Mus musculus: one gene and its partners. The protein of the gene in region 1 purifies or fractionates together with the protein of each later gene. This does not show direct contact. Links are inferred from orthologs where the notes say so. Each region holds a gene or a part of one and is shown in the gene's direction. Other genes may lie near its edges.

Region 1 (3,500 bases):
AAGGTAAGAAAGAAGAGATGGACTGTTTGCTTCTCTTAAGTGTTCCCCAGAATCGTGACCAACCACACTTAAGCCACGACTTGCTATCTAAAAAGTCATTTGTCCTTAGGAATATCAGACTGTGAGACTTGAACTAGGCTGAACAAGCTGTTTAAGTAACTTTGGAAGTAGATGTCGGTATCTTGTTTTCATTTTTAAAAGATAATTAAATTAGAAATGCAACACATTAATTGTAATAAAGGGATATTATAGTCTAAATGTCAGTTAAGCCTTCCTGGAACACTGATAATTAGATAGGTTCCTAAAAGGAAAAATTGCAGATCTCAGAATGATCTAAATAAAACCTAAGTAAATTAAAATTAAGTCTTTAAAAAGTAAGTAGAGGCTGCCCCCTGCCCAGACTGACGAGTCAGCCCTGCTGTCCCGAGCGCCATGTTGGGTTCTTCTAGCGTTGCCGCCATGAAGAAGGTGGTTCAGCAGCTCCGGCTGGAGGCCGGGCTGAACCGCGTGAAGGTTTCCCTGGCAGCTGCAGGCTTGAAGCAGTTCTGTCTGCAGAATGCTCAACATGACCCTCTGCTGACTGGAGGGTCTTCAAGTACAAATCCCTTCAGACCCCAGAAAGTCTGCTCCTTTTTGTAGTCATCTATCTTGAGGTTTCTCAAACCACTTTTCATGAACCAGTGACTATTCAAGAGAGCTAAGTTTGAAGTCTGTACAAAAGCTTCTCTTTAACACGTGCCATAATACACTATCTTCTGCTCGTCAGTCCTTAACATCTACCTCTCTGAATTCCATGGGTTTCTGTCTCACAAGGTTTAACTATTTTATATACACTGGCTGTAGCATACAATAAAGCAGCATACAAAAAAAAAAAAAAAAAGTAAGTAGCTGCCCAAGGAGCTAAAGAGGTCAGCAACCCTATAAGAGGAACAACAATATGTACTAACCAGTACCCCCCAGAGCTTGTGTCGCTAGCTGCATATGTAGCAGAGGATGGCCTAGTCAGCCATCAGTGGGAGGAGAGGCCCCTGGTCTTTCGAAGATTCTATGCCCCAGTACAGGGGAATGCCAGGGCCAGGAAGCGGGAGTGGGTGGGTTGTGGAGCAGGGCAGGGGGAGGATATAGGGAACTTTCGGGATAGCATTTGAAATGTAAATGAAGAAAATATCTAATAAAAAAGAAAAAGAAAAAAAGGAAGTAGCACTATGCTTTTTTATGATTTTATTTATTTATTTATTTATTTATTTATTTATTTATTTATTTATTTATTTATTTATTTTGGATTTGGGTTTTTCAAGGCAGCAGTTCTCTGTGTATCCCTGACTGTCCTAGAACTCACTCTGTAGACCAGGCTGGCCTCAGAAATCCACCTGCCTCTGCCTCCCAAGTGCTGGGATTAAAGGCGTGCGCCACCACTGCCCAGCAATGAATTTTTTGAAATGTCTGCAGGGGGCTAGAGAGATGGCTCATTTCCCAGCAGCTACATGGCTGCTCACAGCCATCTGCATCTAGAGCATCTGATGCCCACTCTTCGTCTCTGTGGACACTGCACAGACTTGGTGCACAGATATCCATGCAGGCAAAACACCCATGTACATGAAATGGAAAAGGAAAAGAAATGTACTTCTTTGTAGAGTGTTGCGGCCGCCAGCAGCTCGCAACATGAACGGTTCGACTGAGAAGGCTACTCGAGCTGTAAGAGAGGAATCTAGACGGGGCGAAAGAAGAAACGGAGCCAAGATAAATTCATTCTGATCAAAGCTCAAATTTTATTGTTGGGACACTAGTTATAAAAGAAGGGGGAGGGGACCCGATTTCCGCCAAATAATCTCTGGTCCAGTAAAAAGGTGCACGTGTGTGGCTCCGCAGGTTCTAGCAGTGGGCGTGACAGAACAGATGAGCGGGAAGCTCCACCCCTGAGCAAGCAGGTTTCAGGCTGGGGGAGGAGAGACTACAGTAGAGTTGTAATGTCCATGTAACCACAGTGATGACATAGTAACCTCCATAGTTTCAAAAGGTTTGAGTGTCCCCTCCTAGTGACCCATGACTCTCACCCTTCATTCAATGCAGGCAGCCACTGACCCAATTCTGACTCTGGATTAATCTTGTTTCGTATAAATGGAACTGTCGAGGGTCATGCACATTACTGAATTGTGTGCTCATCTGTATTGTGTGCTCCAGCATTCCCAGTTGTTCAGCAGTTTCCTTTTCATAAGCACACCAAAGTTTGTACGCTGCTGTCCTATTAGTGAGCACTTGTGGTTCGGAATATAAACCTATTGTGAACATTCCTGTGCACACCCGTGTGGGCATATGTTTTTATCCTTGAGTAAATGGGGGGGGGGGTTGCTTTGCTTGAAGCTTTATTTTTAAAGTTTCTTGGAGTGTTTTATCATGTCATGCATTCTAAGTGAAAACTGGGGTGCCCTCTTTCTGAAAGTGACTTTTCTGCTTTCCTGGTTGTGAGGTAGCAGAACTTGCTGCTCCCATGCCTGACTTCTGCTCTTGCCCTTAGATTCTGGATTTTGGGCTGGCTCGGCACACTGATGATGAGATGACAGGCTACGTGGCTACCAGGTGGTACCGAGCCCCAGAGATCATGCTGAATTGGATGCACTATAACCAGACAGGTACTGACTGCTTCAGTCGCCTCCCCAGATGGGGAAGGGGTGCTCCCTAACATGGCTTTCAGGTGACTTAGCAGCTGGGGCCTTACTTCTTACGTCTTCCGTGTCATTCTTTCTGTGACACTACCTGAGGGGAGTGGTCTCTTAATCCTAACACCTATGTTTCCTGGGAGGATTCACCATTTACCAGTAACAAAGTTTTGCCCCTTTGTGAGTTGCTTATTTCTTTTATCTTAATTATATTCTGAGTTGCACGACCTGTGGAGTCTTTTCTTGAGTGACAATTTTAATAAGTTTGTTTCTATATAAAAAAGATTGTCAAACCTTGGGTGTCTTAAATCCTGACTTGAATCTCTCACTCATAGTTAGAGTCATTTGTGTCCATGAATATGAATAGAAACCATGTCGGTGCTTGTATCCTCTTTACTGTTCCAGTGGATATTTGGTCCGTGGGCTGCATCATGGCTGAGCTGTTGACCGGAAGAACGTTGTTTCCTGGTACAGACCGTATCCTTTAACACGTTTTGGCCCTGTTTCTCATGTGTGTGCTGTGGTAGATGTGTGCTTCCCTAACTCATTGGTGGGGAAGACTCAGTTCTTTGCAGTTCCAGCGTGGCTTTTGAGGTCTGTCCTCTTGTTGAGTTGCTCACCTTGCCAAGAAAAGGCTTTGGGGTTGAGAAAACAAGCTTAGAACTCACCTGTCATATTTTTGCAGCAAGTCCCTTTATTAATGAGTTTAGTCTATTCCTGAAAATCCTTGGTGAGTGTACACGGCCACCTGTATTCAGAGGTATCTGGTTCTCACATTTGCTTATGTACTAAACAGACTGTGGGTCCCTCTGCTGACACGCCCGCTGAGTCCTGTCCTATTTG
Region 2 (3,500 bases), on another chromosome or scaffold:
GGTCAACAAGTGCTCTTAACTGCTGACATGTCTCTATGACCCCTTACCACCCCCCACATATAATATATAATATATAATATATAATATATAATATATAATATATAATATATAATATAATATATAATATATAATATATAATATATAATAATGTGTATGTGTGTGTATATATATATATATGTGTGTATATATGGTAAGATGAATGTAGTTGAAACCATATGGTTTGTTTTTAGGAAAATCATTTGTAGTGCCCCTGGCTACCCATATATCCACTAGTTAGCCTGCCTTTCTAGGTGACTAGCAGCAATTTGATGGTGGTGGCCTTCATTTATTGCTGAGGAAAGTTACAGAGCTTGGTGTTTACACTCTTTCCTTTCTGTTTTAGCCGTCCTGGATAATGAGAGGCTCACTGCAGAGGAGATGGATGAGCGGAGACGGCAGAACGTGGCTTATGAATACCTTTGTCATCTGGAAGAAGCAAAGAGGTATGGAGGGACTAGTTGGAGAGTGGCCTGGGAGAAGGAGCTGATGTGCTGTGCCTTTAAAAGAGTTGTTTTCATTTCTGTGTATGGTTTCTGGTATCCATGTATGGCTGCCAGTGGAGGTTAGAAGGCCTTAGATCTCCCTGGGGCTGGAGTTACAGTCACCTGATGTGGGTGGTGGCAGCCCAGCTCTGGTCCTCTGAAAGAGCAGCAAGTGTTCCTAACTGCCGAGCTGTCTACCCAGCCTCCACAGGTGGCTCTCTGTGTGCATTATGTTTTAGGTAAGAGTGTTGGCGGCTGGCAGTTGAAAGGGTAAGTAGGTAGGATAAGTGTAGAGTGTTTATTCATGGGAACAAGTGGGCCGTGGTGGGTTATGATGAAACACTCTGTCGAACACTTGTGCCTGCTGAAAGATCTCCACAGTTGTGTTTTTCAGCCTTTCTGTTTGTAGTGGTTGTTTTGGGTACTGCCAGCTGTCAGAAATAACGTTTTAAGTTAGGGTTTGATGTTCTTGATCTTCTCAGTGGTTCCTAATTCTTCAGGGTTTTGGTTTGTGTATTGAGCCCCATCTCCTGGTGACTCATGGAGTGGGTATTAGGTTTAGGGGGCTGGTAAGGGTGGAGCTGAAAGGGGCTGAGGACATACCTGAGTGGTAAAGTACTTGTTGAGTGCTCAAGGTCCTGGGAGACACCCAGTGCCAGAAGAAAACTGCAGAACCTTCTTACGAGGGTCATGCCGTAGCTATAGATCTGTCCACCAGCAGCATGGCGAGGCCTTTCCGCAAACTCAATGCTGCCACACATTTTTTTTTTTTGAGATGGGAATCTCAGCCCTAGGCTGGCCTCAAACTCATCCTGCTGCTGAGGCTTCTCTGGTCCTCCCACTAGCATCTCCCAAGTGCTGAGATTACAGGCATGCGCCACCACACCCATCTCCTCTGCATTCTTTATGAGGAGGATACTCAGCTGCTGTTTATCTTCTCCAGATATCTCAAGACCTTGTGATCTTAATTTTAGGGTGTCAGTTTGTTATCAGTGGTTCCTTTTGTTGTGTTGCTTACATTTCTTTGCAAGGTTCCAGAGCAGATAAACACAATTATAGGTCGTGTACACTGAAGAATAATGGGAGATAATTGTCATCCAGGCTTAGTGAAAACCAGGGATGTTTTAGATGATTAAAACAAGAGTGGAAATTTGATTTGATTGTCAAGAGCTGGCCAGGAAAGTTGGCAGTAAATATGAGCTCCTAGGCCCAAGAAGCCCTTCAGAGCTCCCTTTTCTTTAAAGATGACAAAAACTGCCCCAGATATGGTCCCCTTGGCACCCTGCCCTGGACTCTTTATAAGACTGAAGTAGCGGCTTCCCTGGAACTGGAGTTGAAGGAGATTGTAGGCCAACCTAGGAGTTCCTAGGTGCTAGAATGGGACCTGGCTCTTAACTCCAGAGCCATCTTTTCTGTCCCCTATTTGTCTTTTTGAATCTCAGCTGCCTCTCTGAGTTTAAAGCCTTTTCAGAAAGTCAGAGAAAGATATTAGTGGTAAGGTAGGTGAGGATTATCGATAATGACACTAGTCTTCCCCAGTTGTCACCACCACTGCCACCACCTCCTCCTCTTCCTCTTTTTCCTCCTCTTTTTCCTTCTTCCTTCTCTTCTTCCTATTCTTTCTTCCCCCCTTATCCTTCTCTCCCTCTCTCTCTTTTTTTTTCAAGACAGGGTTTGTCTGTGAAGCCTTGGCTGTCCTAGAACTCACTTTGTAGACCAGGCTGCCTTTGAACTCAGATCCACCTGCTTCCGACTCCTGAGTGCTGGGATGAAAGTTGTGTACCAGCACTGCCCAGCTGACACTTGTCTTCGAAATGGAAGCTTAGTACGATGGTTTTGGTAGTGCCCAGGGAGGGATGAGGCATAAAGAGCAGTTGCTGCCCCTCCGAGCTGCTTTCCCCATGTGATGGCAAATGGAACTGCAGGGAGCAAGAGAAGAAGGTACTGTGAGAAAAGGGACATTTCCTCCTAGGAAGTTTGTAAGGGGATACAAACACTTAAGTCCTCTGCCACTTAAATTGTGAACTTCTCCTTGTGGAAGGTCAAGGAATTTGTAAGCTGCAGCTGGTCTCAGAAGCCATCTTGTGTGCTCCCTTGAGCCATCGGGAATGAGAAGGAAGACATCAGCTTGCTGAGTCCCTCTCCTACCTGTAAGAGTTTTACTTTTCCAGAAGTGCTTGAGGTTTCGAGCCTTGTGCCTGCTAAGTGTGGGGCTCCATTCCTGACACTAAGTCAACTTCTGTCCCGACTAGCCACCTCATTTCAGTGAGAAAACCAAGGCCTGAGCTTTCTTAGCCTACCTGTAGCTTCTCTTTTAGGGGGAGGGGTCATGTAGCCTAGGCTGGCCTGGAGTTCACAATGTAGCTGAGAATGACAGAGCCCTGAGCCCAGTGCCAAACAAAGTTGTCTGCCACTACACCTGGCATAGTTTCCCATAGTTTTCTGGCTAAGGAATGTTCATTGTTTGCGCAGTGGTCCTCAACTGGGTATGTGGTATGTGCATTAGAATCTCTTGCGAAAGTTTTTACAAATGCGGATAATCTGGGTTTTACTGCCGAACACTCAGTAAGTGTCCTACTGCCGAGCCATACCCCAGCTTCATACCTAAATATTTCAAATACCTTAAGTGATTTAGATCGGCTTTCTTACCCTAGTTGAGAAGTAGGATATTCGTACTTTTAACACGTTTAAATTTTCTTTGAATGGTTTTAGACTCTGACCTATTAGAAGTTAATGATGCTCTTCACACTTTCTTTCCGGGTGCAGCGCTGGCAACATTTTATTTGCAGTACGTTAGAGCATGTCCTTCCTGACAGGCGTGTTTTCCGGGATAGAAAAGTAGCCTGATTATGCAACCCATCGAGAGACCACTAGTCCCTGAAGGGTTTTTCAGTTGGTTGTTTACTTTAGGCAGTAAAGATGTTTATGATATTCTTATTTACTTCCTTCTTTACTTAAAGCTCTGGGCATAATAGCTGT
Region 3 (4,114 bases), on another chromosome or scaffold:
CATCCATGGCCTCATGCCACCACTAACTTGTCCACAACATAATCAAGCCCCAGTCAGCTCTTGCCAACACTTGGCGTTCTCATTTTGAGAACATTCTACTAATGTAGTGACTGGGAAGTATTTCCCTATTTTTTTGAATTGGCTTTCCTTCCATGCCTGAGCTTCAACCTTTCCCCATATATTCTTACCCCATCACATTCCTTCCTTTGGGCAGAGTATGCAGTCCTTGAGTTCCTTACCCATTTATCTACGGGGTCTTAACCCTTTGATTATTTTGTGCGAGCTTTATCTTATCTGTTGTGTGTTTTCCTTTAAAACTGTTATTTGCTTTTCTTGGGCTTTTAGCAGAGAAAGGACACATGGCCAGATGGGGCTTTTTTAGAAGCCTCCCCTGCCTCTCCTTTCATTGTCAGCACTTATCACCCCGATATCTGGTCCAGTGCCTTTGCTTATTGTTAGTGTGTCCTGCTGGACTAGAACACCCAGGCAAGGAGAGCCCTTGTGTGTCTTTCCTGTTCATCACCTGTCCAGTGGGCTGGCTGGAGGCCACCAGCCTTAGTGGACTGAATGGTGCTCTGGAATGGGGCAGGGTGGAGACACGCTGAAGTTTCAAAAACTGGGACAGTGACTTGTATAGTCATGACCACTAGAAAAGCCAGAAGGAGAATGGGGATGGGGACATATTGCAGTAAAACGACTTCTTTCCACGTGGATCCATCCAGGGGCTTATGGGAAAGAGGCTTTGGGGAGGCGCCCCTCTTCACCTGATAAGAGCACAGTGTCTCAGTTTAGAGTTGGGTGCTCGGAATTCTTGTGTACCTTTAGCTAGGCCTGTACAAATGAAGCCCAGATGGAAATAGCACACCCAGGAGCTGCCTTGTGCCTTCAGTTTTTTAGTGGCATCTCACAGTAAAATACATTAGAAGGCTCTGATTGGCCCATTATACAGATGGGGGCCATCTAGTTCCAGGTAGTTCAGCATTATTGAGTTGTTTGAGACAGTTTCTGGTTCTGGGGCTCTGGGCTTTTGTCCCCACCCCTCTTCCTGCTTCCAGGGACCAGACTGGCGCCAAGCAGGGGCAACTGCAACATGTCCCCTGCTGGGCCCCCGACCTGCCCTTGGCCTCTGCCCTGACCCTGTCCCGCCTGGGTGGAAGCCCTAGCTCAGCCTGCGGCTTGCAACTCCCACCAGGCTTTTCCTTAGCCCTGGTTGGCTCTCCTGCTCCCTGAGCCCGCCCCACCGCCCCGCCCCGTCCCGCCCCTTTGAGCTGCTACTTAGTCGGTCCGAAGGCAGAGCCTTCCAAGGTGGAATCTGGATTCTGCTGCCAGGAAGCGGCCGGCGCACGAGTGGCGCGAGGCTTGGCTTCCACGTGCGAGCCTGCTCCACCACCCCGCCCTCTCCGAGCGCCCAAGCCTGGGGGATCCGTCTCCATGAACGATACCTACGCCCTGCCGTGGCACTAGCTGTGGCCAGGACGTCCGGGTGCAGTCGCCTGCCTCTGGATCTCGCTCCAGGTCTCTCCTTTTGTTCTCTCCTGGGGTGGGTAGGAGTGGGGCCGAGTCAGCTCTTACGGGACTCGCCGAGGCCCACAACCTCGGTGACCCTCTTGTTCTCTGGGTCTTCCGGGCTTTAGAGGAGAGCCGGGCCTTGAACCCAACTTCTCCACACATCCAAAATTGAACTTGGGGAGTGATGGAGATCAGAGCAAATGAGAAAGTCAGAAAAGGGGTGTGGAGGGAACTGGTTTTAGTCCTCCTAGCACTTCAGAGACCGGTAGACGCCCAGCTATCTTCTGGGGTATGTCTCACGAAAACTCCATGTAAGCGGGGCAGGGAGCAGCGCCCAAGTGGCGGCAGCCTCGGGTCTTTTTCCAGGGGCGCCTTCCTTGGTGTTCTCACTGTGGGTGGAGCGCGAGGAGAGAAGCAGGCGGTAGAGGAATGTCCCTGCGGGGACACTGAAAGCCTGCCCTCAGGACAGGGGTTGACTTCCCGCCTCAGTAGCCTGATCCACGCTGCAGGAGTAGAGACAAACTTGCCCTCACTCCGCGCCTTGCCTCTCTCCACAGCACCCACTGCCCGACGTGCAGGACGCTGCGCGACCATGGAGAGTCTGAGTCGGTCATGCCTGTGGCTGCGTCAGGAGCTGTCGTCCCCGCGCCCACAGCTTCTGCTGCTGGACTGCCGCAGCCGGGAGCTGTATGAGTCGGCGCGCATCTGCGGGGCGCTGAGCGTGGCCCTGCCCTCGCTGATGCTGCGCCGCCTGCGGAGGGGGAGCATGTCGGTGCGGTCGCTCTTGCCTGGGCCACCACTGCAGCCTCCCCCACCGGCCCCTGTGCTCCTGTACGACCAGGGTAGCAGTGGCCAGTGCCATCGTGAAGCAGCGGAGGCTGAAGCGAAGGCCGAACCTAAGGCTGAAGCGGAGGCCGAACCTAAGGCTGAAGCGGAGGCCGAACCTAAGGCTGAAGCGGAGAACGAAGCGGAGGCTAAAGCGGAGGCCAAAGCGGAGGCCAAAGCGGAGGCTAAAGCGGAGGCCAAAGCGGAGGCCAAAGCGGAGGCCAAAGCGGAGGCTAAAGCGGAGGCCAAAGCGGAGGCCAAAGAAGAGTGGGATGCTGACTCGGTGCTGGGCGTCCTGCTCCAGAAGCTGCGGGAAGAAGGCTACCCAGCATACTACCTACAGGGTAAGTGAGGGTCAGTGGCCTGAGAGAGCACTCTGGAGAGGCCTCAGGTCAGGAGAAAAGATCCTTCTTTCCAAGGGGATTTCATAATTACTTTATCCTTCAGCAAACTCAATCTTATTTTGTCTAAAATATAGGGTAAGCGCCTCCCTCCTGATAACCTGCCCAACAGCTTTTGGGGAGGCAGAGCTGACCGTGACCTTGGGCAAGTCCTTCATCCCTCCAAGCCCATTTATAAGTCTGGATAATGGGGAGAATTGACCTGAAACAACCTGGTTCACAGGATAATGCCCCAAGACTAAGGGCTGCATTGGGCACTTATCAGCCAAAGAAACAGTCACTAATGCTGAGTGAGGGTGGATGGCTGTCTATAGCACAGCACATGTGGTTTAAACAAATCTGCTGGCTTATGCGTTCCCTTTGGCAATATCTGCAACCCCCACCCCGGAGAGCTGTGTGGTGTCAGCTCCCTAGCCCCAGCTAGGGATACTTGGCTGCCCAGAGGCTATATTAACTAGTAAGACCTCGCCCTTCTTTCCTGACAGGTGGCTTCAGCAAGTTCCAGGCCGAGTGTCCTCACCTGTGTGAAACCAGCTTCAGTGGTCGTGCCGGCTCAGGCCTGGGCTCAATGTCTAGCCCAGTGCCTGTGGTGGGGCTAGGTGGCCTGTGCTTGAGCTCTGATTTCTCTGATGCAGAGTCTGAGGCTGACCGTGACACCTTGAGCTGTGGCCTAGATTCTGAGAACACCACATCCCCTCCAGCTGGGCTGCTACCACCCTTCCCAGTCCAGATCCTGCCCAATCTCTACCTAGGCAGTGCTCGAGATTCAGCCAATTTGGAGAGCCTGGCCAAGCTTGGCATCCGCTATATCCTCAATGTCACCCCCAACCTTCCTAACCTCTTTGAGAAGAATGGTGACTTCCACTACAAGCAGATCCCCATCTCTGACCATTGGAGCCAGAATCTGTCCCAGTTCTTTCCGGAGGCCATTGCATTCATTGGTAAGTCCTCCCTACTTTGTCCCCCTGTCCCTCCCCCTCCACAATCTCCACCCACCAGACTGATTCTTGGCCTCTCGTCCTCCTGACTCCATTCCCAGAGCCCACGTGACACTTGGGGAGGTGGGGGTAGAGCTCAGGTCAACTGCCAGTGAGAGAGATCCTTCAGATATGGTCTCGGCAGGGTAGGGAGGCAGTGATGGTGATCCCAGAAATTCGTATAGCTTTGGTCTCACTCATAGTGACCCTTAGGGGGTGTTTCTGTTCTGTCCTGTTTTACCTAGATGAGGCCTTGTCGCAGAACTGTGGGGTGCTCGTCCACTGTCTGGCAGGGGTCAGCCGCTCTGTCACTGTCACCGTGGCCTACCTCATGCAGAAGCTTCACCTCTCACTCAACGATGCCTACGACTTGGTCAAGCGGAAGAAGTCTAACATCTCACC
Region 4 (3,938 bases), on another chromosome or scaffold:
AAAAAAGCAAAAGCAAAAGCAAACCAAAACAAACAAAAAACCCAAACCCATGAAAGACTTGGAGTTAAAGTAGGCTCAAGTAGGTCTTGCATCTCTTGAAAGCAAGTGAACTCTGGTTTGACTTAAAGATGATGCTGTACTACCGATGTCGAGAATACTTACTTAATGTGTAAGGGCGTTTTGATTTCATGTTTGTGTGTGCGCCCCATGTGTGCTCGGTGCCCATGGAGGTCAGCGGAGGGCATCAGATCCCCTGGAACTGGAGTTACAGATGGTTCTGGGCTGCCATGTGGGTGCTGGGAATCGAGCCGTCAGTGCTCCTAACAACCCTAAAATACCTTTAACGTCTTATTACATTTTATTTGTGTGTGTGTATTACATTTTATTTATTTATTTGTGTGTGTGTGTGTGTGTAGCGGGGTGGGGAACAGCATGTGGACTGAGGACAACTTTCAAAGGCGGTTCTCTCCACCGCATGGACCCTTTACTTGTTGAGCCATCTCGAGGGCACGCAGAAAAGATTCTTTTAGAAAAAATAATTCTTGGCTGCGTTTGCCCGCACTCGTGTAGTAGGGTCTTTCAAGGACGAAGACATAGGTGAAGATATGTTTGATATCACCGGTGCAGTTTTCCTTCAAGTACCTGTAACTTCCCTCTCAAGAGAAAAGCCCCGGATTTGGGATTCCGGGACCTTCTTACAAAATGATTGACTGCAGCACTCTCAGATCGCCTTGCTTTCCTTCCCCTAGAGTGGGGGCATTGGAGCAGCCGCCTCCGTCGGAGGAGAGACCCCAGCGCGGGCAGGAGGCGGGCGGGCCACAGACCCAGGCTCCCGGGCCGCGAACCCGGAGCGCCGAGGCGCCGCTCGGTCGGCCCGGTACGCGACCCGAGCCCGCCTCCCGGAGGCTCCGGAGGCTCCGGCTCGCGGGGACGAGCGCCGAGGGGCGGGCGATGCGCGGCCTGGGCCGGAGACCCCGCCCCCCCACCCCGCCCCCCGCCCCGCCCTCGCCCGTCTCCTCCTTTCCCCCCCGGGCTCCGCTGAGTTCATTCACTGGGATTGGTTTCAAGTGACGCCATCTCTTTATTTTTAAACCGATGACCTCATCCGCGCTTGAAGTTTCCTGACCAGCGACTCTTTCTCTCTCCCCAACCCCCACACTACCCCCCCTGGTCCCCTCCTGCGGGCATCACCGTTTGGGGGGGCTCTCATCCCGTTTCCAACCATTTACCCTCCCCCTCTCGCTTTTCCCGCGCGGACCCCCAACTTTACCTCAACTTCTTCATCCCTGTCGACATTTTTTTTTCCCTCTTTCGGGGGGCGGTGGAAGAGAAAGTGAAGAAAAGTTGCAAACGCCCGGGCTCTCGCTAAGCTCTCCGCCCACCCTTCAGAGGAGAAGCCCCGGCGGCGAGGAGGACGCGCGAGCGACGGCTGGGCGACGCGGTGACAACGCTCGCTCCCCTCCGCGAGCCTGGAGCCGGCGGCCCCTCAAGTAAGTGTTCGCGGCGGGCCGCGGGCCGGCTGGGAGGCGCGTCCGCTCCTCGTGCCGGCCGCCGCGCGCTCTCCCCGGCCGGGGGCCGGCGGGCCACGGCGGCCCGGAGCGGCGACGGCGGCGGCGGGGGGTGTGTAGGCCGCGCTGGGGGTCGGCCCGAGCCGCGGGGGCGCCCCGGCCTCGCCGCGCCGAGCGGGCGAGCGGGCGAGCGGGCGAACGAGCCCCGGGCCGCGGGTCGCCGGCACCTGGGCGGGCGAAGCTGCTCACTTCCAGACTGTTACACAACACGCCTGCCAAGTGGGGCCCTGACTGTTTCCATAATCCCAAATTCACCTTGTGTGTGTGCAGGCAGCCAGCGAGGCCACCTGGGGAGCGACCGTGTCGCTTCCTTAAACAAGGAAAAAAAAAAAAAAACCCACCCCCAAAACTCAACTTTCATTCCGGGGCTCCCGTCACGGTGTTGGAGGAAAACGGTCCGCCGGTGACTCCTTTATTTACAGTAGCTGTAAAATGTGAGACATGAAAACGGGGAAACAACGGACGGTGTGTGTGTGTGTGTGTGTGTGTGTACGGTGTAGTTTCACGTGGAAAAAAAAAAACCCTAAGGAGGACATACATGCAAACTCTTTAAGAGCGACGGGTTGTTTCCTACAGAAAGCTGATAATACACTTGGGGAAAGTACAAGGAGATCTTAAAATGAATGGCTTGTGCAAAATTGGAAAGAACTTTTCTTAAACGCCTGTTGCAAAGATCCTTGGTGTTTTGAAGTCCTGTGTGTCTCAGATTGTTTGGAGAACGCACACCTCTAATCAGCCCATGATTAGAGAGGAAAAACCTGTTGCATAATCTCATTTGCTGTGGGGTTGGCTGTGCCGTCCCCTGAACCAAGGGGAAGTGAGTTAGGATGAGGGTTTTTAAACCTCTGAGGTTTTTATTTACACAGTGCGCTGGGTGCCACTTTGCTTTTAAAGATTGTAAGTAAATACTCTGCTCTTACAAGCGAATCAAACCTATCGAACCTGCTGGGAAAATGACCAGGTATGTGTTCTCTCCTGCTCACGTTATCTCTCTCTCTCTGAAATAGATTCTCAGGGGGAATAAGCCTCTTTGGCCACTCTGTGGAGCTTGATAGTACATACAGTTAACAACTACTTCCTCAAAAAGCCTACACTTTTTCATCTCCCTTAAAGAAAAGACCTTTAAAGGTAAATTTCAGAAGAAGGGGAAAAAAGCTTAACAATTGAGACAATTCAAATATTAGCGAGCACACTGTGGGAGGCTGTAATTCAGATTTATAGAATTCTCTATTGGGTGAAGACCAGTCGCTTGGAGAAGTAAATTGAAAACTGAAGTGTCTGTGGCTTTGTGTATTCTAGTCAAAATGTGACCAGGCACTGCAAAAGGGTTTTGTCTTTATGTAAAAAATAAAACTGTGGAACTTATTGTGTTTAAAGACATTGTGGAATGTTGATATTTTCATAACATTTACCATCTTATGGACAAATTCAGAACTTCAGCTTGAATTATTAGTTTTAAGGTGTAAGATTTTGTGTTTATCAGAGTTCCAAATGGGGAGAAAATTCGAAGTAAGTTTATTTTGCATTTTAGTAAGTGGTGAATAAGCTGATGTTTAGAAAGTATAAACTGTTGATAATGATAGTTACAATTTTTTGTTTTATTTTACTCTCTGGTATCTTAGCAACTCAAGTGAAATACTTATCCTAGAATTGTGCTGATTTTCCTTCAGTGTTTCAGATGGTGAGTTTCAGTAGACAGGGCCAGGAACAGAAGTACACAGTTACCACTCCCTCCCCACCCCTCACTCTGTTCAGTTTGGAAGTTCTTGTCTCATAGTTCAGCTTGGTGAATGTAGTTGAGTACCTATAAATTTAAAATGTTAATACGAAATTGGGGGTTCCTGGTCTATTTGAACAGAGGTTTAATTATAGGAATTGAGAAAGGGGTCAAAGAGGAAGATCCTGGTAACTCAGTTCCCCTCTCTCCTGCTTTCTTACACATTGAAGATTTATTTGTAGAGTGGAAAAGAGGAGGCAGAGGTCAGCTGGTTTAAGAGTCTGGCTGGGGTTAGGTGAGGACCTAGGTGTAAACTATGTTCCCTCCCACATAGAGAAAGAGTAGGTCTGAGAAGTTTGAAGGAAGCTTGGCTCGAGTTAGAGAAGAACAGGAACAATGTTGGAGTGTTAAAATAGCTTTTTTTTTTTTCTTCTCTAACTGCCTGAATTAGGAAATTGAATTTCATAGAATTTTCATTATCTGGACTTAATATATTAAACAAACAAGTTTATATACATGTTCATTGTTAAGCCTTTTCTATTTTCACCCAACCATAAAGTCCTGTAAAATATAACTTGATATCATTTACCAGTGTAATTTATCCTAGAGTCTTATGTGTTCCTGGTATTTCTAACAAAGACATTTTTCTGTTG
Region 5 (4,199 bases), on another chromosome or scaffold:
GGGGAGAGTAGGGGGCACAAAACGCAGGACAGACCACAGGCAGCAACAGAAGCTGTCTCTACAGAGCCTTAGCTTCCCCTTTTGTATTCCAGGCATGCTAGGCTCACTGGATCAGTCCCGCTTGAGAAGTAGAGGCTACCACCTATCTGATGTTGAGGTAGAGGCTACCACCTGTTTGATGTCGATCAGAGGGGCTTAGGAACTGGCCCCTTGCCGCAAAGCCAGCTGAGTTGTGGGGCTGCCATTCATACCCAGAGCTGCCTGATTCCCAAGCCCATGAAGTAGGTACCGGCTACTCTTCAAAGTTGACCTGCCAATCCCCAACTTCATTACCTGTAGCTGGGAAAAGGATAGCCTGGGAGACATCTTCCTCCTCTGGTTCAGAGGTCCTGTGCATGAAACCCCCAACGGCATGTCTTCGAGGCAGACGCCTTATTCCAGGATCCCCACCTTCCCCATCCATTGCTGGGGGCCCCAAGGCATCTAGGAATAGAGCCTTCACCTTGGCCAGGACGAGCTCCCGGACAAGTTCGGGTCCCTGGCAGCTGTCCACATCCCGTAGGGTCAACAGCAAAAGGAGCAGCAGAGACCGCTGGCTCACCATAGTTCACTTGCCCTGATGACAGGGAACCCACACGCTGCCCTGTGCCCTTTCTGTCTAGGACCTCCCCACTGTCCCCTCCCCATCCCACTGCTGGCCTTCTTCTACCCTTCTCACCCCAGTCTCCCCCAGTCCTTCCCACGCCCCACAGTCCCAGTCGCCCCTGCCCATGGCATTGAGACCTCCTATCTCTGACGCAGATGTCTGTGGCCCTGAGCCTTATCTCCCACTCCCGCCAAGAATGTGGGGGAAGGGGCTGTGATGGGTATTCACCCCAAGTGACCTGACCCATTCAGGCAAGCATACAACCCACTCCTCAAATACACACACACACACACACACACACACACACACACACACACACACACACACATAGAATCTACATCAGGTACCACAGGTGCCTGGGTGCTTAAGGTTGACCAGTCATCAAATCATTTGTCAGAAGGACAGAATGCACCACCCCCCTCAGACTTTCTGGCGCTCTTTTCAATCCTAGCAGCTGCTAGGCCAACGTGGGAGGGTAGACCTAGGGTTGAGGCTCTGGGCCGAGGGCAGGTGGTCCCGCCTGCTCTATACTTAGCCTGGAGGAGCCAGTCTGAGCTCTTGTCCTCCAGCTGTGTCATCAGAGAATATTTTTGGGATTGGCAGCTGCAGGCGACAAAGTCACTCAAGCCCAAGCCAGGCCCGCAGTTGGAGACCTGGAGGCCGGAGGTGGGAGGGAGGGAGGAGAAAGAGGCCCAGGCTGTGGGAGGGGGCTGGAAAGAGAGACTCCCAAGAGCAGGAAGCCCGGCCGCGGGCAGTCTAGGCTGTAGGGCCCCTCGCTGAGCAGGCAAACAGGAAGGACAGCCCCCTGAGCTCTGGGCTCCCGGCCCGGGAATTGCCGCGTAGCAGGGCTGCGGCCAGGGTCCAGGGTAAAGAGGCGAGCGGTCACAGGAGTCCCACCGGTCCCGGCGCCCGCTCCGCCACGCCCTGGTCTCGGCTCCCGGCCTTCCCGCGCGCCCAGGCGAGCCATCTGCAGCGGCCGCAATGAAGGCCGGATCAGGGGATCAGGGGAGCCCCCCGTGTTTCCTACGCTTCCCGCGGCCCGTGCGGGTGGTAAGTGGAGCGGAGGCCGAGCTCAAATGCGTGGTCCTGGGAGAGCCGCCGCCCACTGTCGTGTGGGAGAAAGGCGGGCAGCAGCTGGTGGCCTCCGAGCGCCTAAGCTTTCCGGAGGACGGCGCCGAGCACGGCCTGCTGCTGAGCGGCGCGCTGCCCACCGACGCCGGGGTCTACGTGTGCCGCGCCCGCAACGCGGCCGGAGAGGCCTACGCGGCGGCCGCCGTCACCGTGCTGGAACCCCCGGCCCCCGAGCCGGAGCCCGAGTCCTCCGAGTGTCCGCTGCCAACACCGGGCACCGGGGAGGGCGCCCCGAAGTTCCTGACGGGGCCCCAGTCCCAGTGGGTGCTGCGAGGGGAGGAGGTGGTGCTGACGTGCCAGGTGGGAGGCCTTCCGGAGCCCAAGCTGTACTGGGAGAAGGATGGGATGGCCTTGGACGAAGTATGGGACAGCAGCCACTTCAAGCTGGAGCCCGGCCGCGGCGCGAGTGACGAGGGCGCGAGCCTGACGTTGCGCATCCTGGCGGCACGGCTGCCCGATTCCGGGGTGTACGTGTGTCACGCCCGCAACGCGCACGGCCACGCGCAGGCGGGCGCGCTGCTCCAGGTGCACCAGCCCCGCGAGAGCCCGCCCCAGGATCCCGATGAGAACCCCAAACCCGTGTTGGAGCCGCTCAAAGGCGCGCCCAAGACCTTCTGGGTGAACGAGGGCAAGCACGCCAAATTCCGCTGCTACGTGATGGGCAAACCTGAGCCCGAGATCGAATGGCACTTGGAGGGCCGCCCTCTGCTCCCCGATCGCCGCCGCCTCATGTACCGCGACCGCGACGGCGGCTTTGTACTTAAGGTGCTCTACTGCCAGGCCAAGGACCGTGGGCTCTACGTGTGCGCGGCGCGCAACTCGGCGGGCCAGACCCTAAGCGCGGTCCAGCTGCACGTGAAAGGTAGAGCACCGTGCTTCCAGTGCCCCCAGAGGTCCTTCTTGCTCATGTCCACCCCCATGTCCGGAGGAATATTGAATTCCAGTACACTGATGAATTTCTTAGCCAGCTACCCAGGTGGTAAAAACCACTAAGCCAAGGAATAGACTGTGTAAATCTTAACAATCCTAGAACATTCTTATCCTTTATTCTTTCTTTTAGGCCTTCTTTCCCAACTGGATTCCCATTGGTAGCAATATCTGTAAAATAATAGGAGCATGTTGTGGGAGTAAATAACTAGGGCTAAATTTATAATATGCTAATCGGTGAGAAAAAGGGGGCTGCTGTATTGAAAACACACATTTGGAGTGGAGGCTGTGTTCACAGCTTCGGGGGCCCGGAATCTGTTAGGAAGGCTGGTGCAAACCTCCCAGCAGCCACTGCTCATTCACAGGAGAGGTGGATGTGTCAGAGGAAAAACACCAGCCAGTCTGGATTCTTTTAAGTTTCAAAGAAGATGAAAGCAAAAGAGATGGGGGGGAGAGGTGACCTTACACGTTTTCAGTACCCATGAACAGAAAATCCAGAGAAAACAAGGCACTCTCGAGTCACATTGGAAGCTAAGGCTCCCCTTAATAGGACTTGACCACCACGATTTGAGGGGTTACATTTTCACTGGTGATTGCCCAACTTGTTCCTTCAAGGAAAACATGCTTGGGAAGTTCCCTTGAGTCCTGCCTGACACTTAACCAAGTGTGTGGTATCCGAGCTGTGACAGTGTCCTCACTGCGTCCTGCTCAGACTTGCCAGGCCAGTGAGAAACTGCAATGTCCTCAAGAAAGTAAAGAAACTTCTCCCAGTGGGGCCAAACCTTGTTTTCCTCAGCAAGTTAACTCTCTGGTGGTTTCCAAGTTCCGAAATATGGTTTTGAAATGCTTAGAATGCTATATTAAAATGAAATTCAATGCAGATCCTTGAAGAATTGGGAGATGCTGTGTAGTGTTAGGGACGGTTTGAAAACCACTGATCTGGTTGAATGTTTGCCGCCTCCCCTCCCCCATTTAACACATGAGCAGATTGAGACCCAGAAATGTTATAAGACGTGTCCAAGGTGATATCGGGGTCAGGCTGGGAATTAGGCCAACTAACTTAGCTGGGAATTCGGCCGCCATTCCTAGCCTGCTAGGAAGAGCAAGTATGTGTTATCCTCCTCAGCTAGTCTCTCGCTCCTGCTCCTGCTCCTGAGCCTTCTCTCCTTCTCTTTCTACAGAACCCCGCCTACGGTTCACCCGGCCCCTGCAGGATGTGGAGGGTCGGGAACACGGGATTGTGGTGCTGGAGTGTAAAGTACCTAACTCTCGAATTCCCACCGCCTGGTTCCGGGAGGACCAACGGCTGTTACCCTGCCGCAAGTACGAGCAGATCGAGGAGGGCGCTGTGAGACGCCTCGTCATCCACAAGCTGAAGGCCGATGATGATGGCGTCTATCTGTGCGAGATGCGGGGCCGAGTGCGCACTGTGGCCAATGTGACGGTCAAAGGTCAGCTGGCCAGTGGGAGGAGGCTGAGACCTGGTGGTGTCTCG
Region 6 (4,269 bases), on another chromosome or scaffold:
GGCTGGTGTGAGCTCTCTGAAGTTGCGAGTGACCTTACCCTCCTCATCCCCCTGCCTTCAATTACTGCGATCACAAGTGTGCATCCCATGCCTGATATATGTTCTTATATTGATATTAAAGTCACTTCCTTACCTGGCCGTTGTTGTTGTTGCTTAAGCCTGATAATAGTGGCCTACGTAAAGCCTAGTAGACAGAGGCTGAGGCAGGAGGATCCCTGAAAGTTTGAGGCCACGTGGGATACATAAACTAAGAACTGAGGGTACAACATCTCTGTGATCTTAAAGGTTTTTTTATTTTTAAGAAAATTTTTTATTTAAAAAATATATTTATTTTATGTGCTTTGGTGTTTTGATGTATATCAGTGGGGGGGGGGTGTTAAATCCCCTAGAGGTGGGGTTACAGACATTTATGAGCATTATGTGGGTGCTGGGAATTGAACCCAGGTCCTCTGAAAGAGCAGCCTGTGCTTTTAACCATGGAGCCATTTCTCCAACTCCAAGAAAATATTTTACTTTAAAAACGTGTTTATCGGGCTGGGCATGGTGGCGCACGCCTTTAATCCCAGCACTTGGGAGGCAGAGGCAGGTGGATCTCTGAGTTCGAGGCCAGCCTGGTCTACAAAGTGAGTTCTAGGACAGCCAAGGCTACACAGAGAAACCCTGTCTCGAAAAACAAACAAACAAACAAACAAACAAACAAAACCCGTGTTTATCGTGTGTGAATTAATATATGTACAATCTGTGTATAGGGGTGCACATGTGGAGATTGAACAATAACTTTGTAGAATTGGTTTTATGTGGGTTCTGGGATTGAATTCAGGCTTTGGGGAAATGTTTTTACCCATTGGGTTATCTTGTGTGCCCCTTTTTGTGTGCATGAATGTCTTCTCTCTCTCTCTCTCTGTGTGTGTGTGTGTGTGTGTGTGTGTGTGTGTGTGTGTGTGTGTGTGTGTACCACGTATATGCAGTGCTCACAGAGATCAGAAGAGGGTATTGGATCCCCTGGAACTGGAAATAAACAGGGTTTTGAGCCATCGTATTGGTTCTGGGAGTCAAACCCAGGTCTTACATAAAGGTAGCCCATGCTCCTAACCATTGAGCCACCTCTAGTCCCATCCCCTTAATTTTAAACGCACGTTCATAATTGCAATAGCCTTCAAAGGATTTGAGCCATCAGCACTCGCACCTTTTGGGCTTGCACGTCTAGGATGGCAGGTTGGGGGACCCGTTGCCTTTTGGGAAGGATGATGACGTGGGTTTTGGCTGCAGCTAAGGGAAGCCCTGGCCCCATTGAGGCTCTGGGGGGCAGCCACACCTCTGTGGGGGAGGAGAGGGAGGCTGCCCTGAAGGGGAGTGGACAGCCCCGCTGCCAGTCTTCCCAGGCTTAGAGTGTAAGATGAGAAGGAGAAGGTGGGCCTCACCCAGGAGGGGAGGGCGCCCAGAAACTTCCTGCGGCTCTCAGCTCCACCACAGACTGAGCGCAAGGTCAGTTTGGAGCGGGTGGCAGACTGCCTGGGGGCGGGAGACCCTCCTCGGGGCTGGGCGGAGGCCTTTAAGCACCTCGCCATATTGAAAGGCCACGCTGAGCCGTCTTTGTCTGCAGAGTCCTCCCAAGAACTTTCAGCTATATCCTGGTGTCTGGGGCAAGGGAGAAGCGATCGGAGCTCGTGGGACCCCAACTTGGAGCCGGGACACTGGCGATTCCAGTTTGGACTGAACTTTGAGCCTCGGGAATGAGCGTGCTTCAGTTCATGTAAGCATCCTGGAAAACTGCTTGCTACAACTCCGAGGGGGTTGGGGAAGCCAACTTGGACTTGTTTCCTGAAGAGAAAATTGTAGGGAGGAGACACTCTGTGCGAGCAGAGTTGCTAGGACTGTCCACCGCCCCCTCCCCAAGACTAGCAGCCAAGTGTCTGGGCTTTTTGCCCCCACTCGAGCGTCCACGCTGGAGATCTTAAAGACTCTCGAAAAAAGCCACGTAGGGGGATGGTTCCCCTGGGGCTTCCTTCCGTCTCCCGATTGCCTGATCCTCTGGAGTGTCCCCGACGTCTGCAAAGATGTCGATCTGGACGTGTTAGTGGAGGCCTTAAGGCCTGTGGGCACCTTTAAGAAAATCGGAAAGGTGTTCCGCAAAGAAGAGGACTCCACGGTGGGGATGCTGCAGATTGGGGAGGATGTTGACTATCTGCTCATCCCCCGGGAGGTCCGCCTGGCTGGGGGCGTGTGGAGAGTCATCTCCAAGCCTGCAACGAAGGAAGCTGAGTTTCGGGAGCGGCTAATCCAGTTTTTGCAGGAGGAGGGCCGCACCCTGGAAGATGTGGCCCGTATCATCGAAAAGAGCACTCCACACCCACCCCAACCCCGCAAAAGAACCAAGGAGCTGAGAGTGAGGAGAGTCCCGCAGATGGTCACTCCTCCACTTCGGCTGGTTGTAGGTACCTATGACAGCAGCAATGGCAGCGACAGTGAGTTGAGTGACTTCGATACCTCCAAAGTCAAAGGCAACAGGAGCTCCTCCGGGAGGACCAGGAAGGTGCGCAAAATGCCGGTCAGTTACTTGGGCAGCAAATTCCTGGGCAGCGATGTGGAGAGTGAGGATGATCAGGAGCTGGTGGAGGCCTTCCTCCGCCGTGGGGAGAAGCCCAGCGCGCCTCCTCCACGACGCCGAGTCAATCTTCCAGTGCCCATGTTTGAGAACAACCTGGGGCCCCAGCCATCCAAGGCCGACAGATGGAGGGAGTATGTTAGCCAGGTGTCCTGGGGGAAGCTGAAACAGAGGGTGAAGGGCTGGGCACCCAGATCAGGCTCCGAGGTGGGCCAGACCCAGCAGGCCTCCACAGCAGCTGAGAGGGCTGGAGAAATGAGACACAGCCAAGCCAGCTCGGACGATGATAGCTCCAGAAACACAGGAGACCGGAGTGACCAGATGCTGGGTACTAGACGCTGGAAGCCCAAGATCAAGTGGGTTTCCCTGAGACGATGCAGGAAGGAGCAGGTGCCACCCTTCGCTCAGGGAACAGGCATGCCAGCTGAGGAGCACCCAGAGGCTGCAGAGAACCAGGGGGCAGAGGCTGCAGCTAACCAGAGGGCAGAGCCTCTAGCTAGTCCAAGGGCAGAGGCTGCAGCTAGTCCAAGGGCAGAGACTGCAGCTGATCCAAGAGTAGAGGCTGTTGCTAGTCCAAGAGCAGAGGCTGCAGCTAGTCCAAGGGCAGAGGCTGTAGCTGATCCAAGAGCAGAGGCTGCAGCTAGTCCAAGGGCAGAGGCTGCAGCTAGTCCAAGGACTGAGGCTGCAGCTAGTCTCAGGGCAGAGGCTGTTGCTAGTCCCAGGGCAGAGGCTGCAGCTAGTCCAAGGGCAGAGGCTGCAGCTGATCCAAGAGCAGAGGCTGCAGCTAGTCCAATAGCAGAGGCTGCTGCTAACCAGAAGGCAGAGCTTGTAGATAGTCCAAGGGCAGAGACTGCAGCTGATCCAAGAGCAGAGGCTGCAGCTAGTCCAAGGGCAGAGGCTGTAGCTGATCCAAGAGTAGAGGCTGCAGCTAGTCCAATAGCAGAGGCTGCTGCTAACCAGAAGGCAGAGCTTGTAGATAGTCCAAGGGCAGAGACTGCAGCTGATCCAAGAGCAGAGGCTGCAGCTAGTCCAAGGGCAGAGGCTGCAGCTGATCCAAGAGCAGAGGTTGCAGCTAGTCCAAGGGCAGAGGCTGCAGCTAGTCCAAGGGCAGAGGCTGAAGCTAGTCCAAGGGCAGAGGCTGCAGCTAGTCCAAAGGCAGAGGCTGAAGCTAATCTGAGGGTAGAGGCTGCAGCTTATCTCAGGGCAGGAGTCCCACCTGACCAGAGGGCAGAAGCCATAGATAGTCAGAGGGCAGAGGGCCCAGCTAACCAAAGAACTGGTGCTACAGAAAATCAGAGGGTGGAGGTCCTAGCTGACCAAAGGGCAGGGGTCCTCCATGACCAGAGGGAGGAGGCAGGACCTCAGGGTATACAGGAAGCCTCAGCTGGTTCGGGATCTAGGGCCCAGAAACAGGTAAAGACAGTGAGGTTCCAGACCCCAGGACGCTTCTCATGGTTTCGCATGCGCAGGAGAGTCTTCTGGCACACTCCCAGGTTGCCAACCCTGCCCAGGAGAGTCCCCAGGGCAGGTGAGGCCAGGAGCCTCCGGGTACTAAGGGCTGACATCAGAGCAGATGTGGAACACAGAGAGCAAGAAGAACAGCTGTAAGGGAAGCCCAGTGCCCCTGCCCCCTGCCTGCCTTTGTTAGCTACTGGGATGCCTCT

The links.
Region 2: the proteins of Mapk14 (region 1) and Iqgap1 purify together in Homo sapiens (affinity purification with mass spectrometry; 3 studies listed by BioGRID and IntAct, counting the BioPlex papers as one, with this or other methods). This does not show direct contact. The link is inferred for Mus musculus from reciprocal best matches to the Homo sapiens genes MAPK14 and IQGAP1.
Region 3: the proteins of Mapk14 (region 1) and Dusp9 purify together in Homo sapiens (affinity purification with mass spectrometry; 8 studies listed by BioGRID and IntAct, counting the BioPlex papers as one, with this or other methods). This does not show direct contact. The link is inferred for Mus musculus from reciprocal best matches to the Homo sapiens genes MAPK14 and DUSP9.
Region 4: the proteins of Mapk14 (region 1) and Dusp16 purify together in Homo sapiens (affinity purification with mass spectrometry; 7 studies listed by BioGRID and IntAct, counting the BioPlex papers as one, with this or other methods). This does not show direct contact. The link is inferred for Mus musculus from reciprocal best matches to the Homo sapiens genes MAPK14 and DUSP16.
Region 5: the proteins of Mapk14 (region 1) and Obsl1 purify together in Homo sapiens (affinity purification with mass spectrometry; 6 studies listed by BioGRID and IntAct, counting the BioPlex papers as one, with this or other methods). This does not show direct contact. The link is inferred for Mus musculus from reciprocal best matches to the Homo sapiens genes MAPK14 and OBSL1.
Region 6: the proteins of Mapk14 (region 1) and Ccdc8 purify together in Homo sapiens (affinity purification with mass spectrometry; 3 studies listed by BioGRID and IntAct, counting the BioPlex papers as one, with this or other methods). This does not show direct contact. The link is inferred for Mus musculus from reciprocal best matches to the Homo sapiens genes MAPK14 and CCDC8.

Annotation. Positions count from the first base shown.
Region 1 is NC_000083.6:28,725,842-28,729,341, forward strand, and holds part of Mapk14 (mitogen-activated protein kinase 14), read left to right. Parts: coding exon 1-3; intron 4-384; exon of another isoform or gene 385-863; intron 864-2,515; coding exon 2,516-2,630; intron 2,631-3,062; coding exon 3,063-3,134; intron 3,135-3,500. UniProt on the Homo sapiens protein: Serine/threonine kinase which acts as an essential component of the MAP kinase signal transduction pathway.
Region 2 is NC_000073.6:80,796,832-80,800,331, reverse strand, and holds part of Iqgap1 (ras GTPase-activating-like protein IQGAP1), read left to right. Parts: intron 1-382; coding exon 383-482; intron 483-3,500. UniProt on the Homo sapiens protein: Plays a crucial role in regulating the dynamics and assembly of the actin cytoskeleton.
Region 3 is NC_000086.7:73,638,127-73,642,240, forward strand, and holds the start of Dusp9 (dual specificity protein phosphatase 9), read left to right. Parts: upstream 1-1,314; 5' UTR 1,315-1,515; intron 1,516-2,066; 5' UTR 2,067-2,101; coding exon 2,102-2,678; intron 2,679-3,220; coding exon 3,221-3,676; intron 3,677-3,957; coding exon 3,958-4,114. UniProt on the Homo sapiens protein: Inactivates MAP kinases. Has a specificity for the ERK family.
Region 4 is NC_000072.6:134,789,829-134,793,766, reverse strand, and holds the start of Dusp16 (dual specificity protein phosphatase 16), read left to right. Parts: upstream 1-1,138; 5' UTR 1,139-1,490; intron 1,491-1,954; exon of another isoform or gene 1,955-2,529; intron 2,530-3,938. UniProt on the Homo sapiens protein: Dual specificity protein phosphatase involved in the inactivation of MAP kinases. Dephosphorylates MAPK10 bound to ARRB2.
Region 5 is NC_000067.6:75,503,653-75,507,851, reverse strand, and holds the start of Obsl1 (obscurin-like protein 1), read left to right. Parts: upstream 1-1,399; 5' UTR 1,400-1,627; coding exon 1,628-2,639; intron 2,640-3,885; coding exon 3,886-4,155; intron 4,156-4,199. Other genes in the region: Inha (inhibin alpha chain isoform 1 preproprotein), read right to left, coding at 334-604. UniProt on the Homo sapiens protein: Core component of the 3M complex, a complex required to regulate microtubule dynamics and genome integrity. It is unclear how the 3M complex regulates microtubules, it could act by controlling the level of a microtubule stabilizer.
Region 6 is NC_000073.6:16,992,433-16,996,701, forward strand, and holds the start of Ccdc8 (coiled-coil domain-containing protein 8 homolog), read left to right. Parts: upstream 1-1,469; 5' UTR 1,470-2,155; coding exon 2,156-4,213; 3' UTR 4,214-4,269. UniProt on the Homo sapiens protein: Core component of the 3M complex, a complex required to regulate microtubule dynamics and genome integrity. It is unclear how the 3M complex regulates microtubules, it could act by controlling the level of a microtubule stabilizer.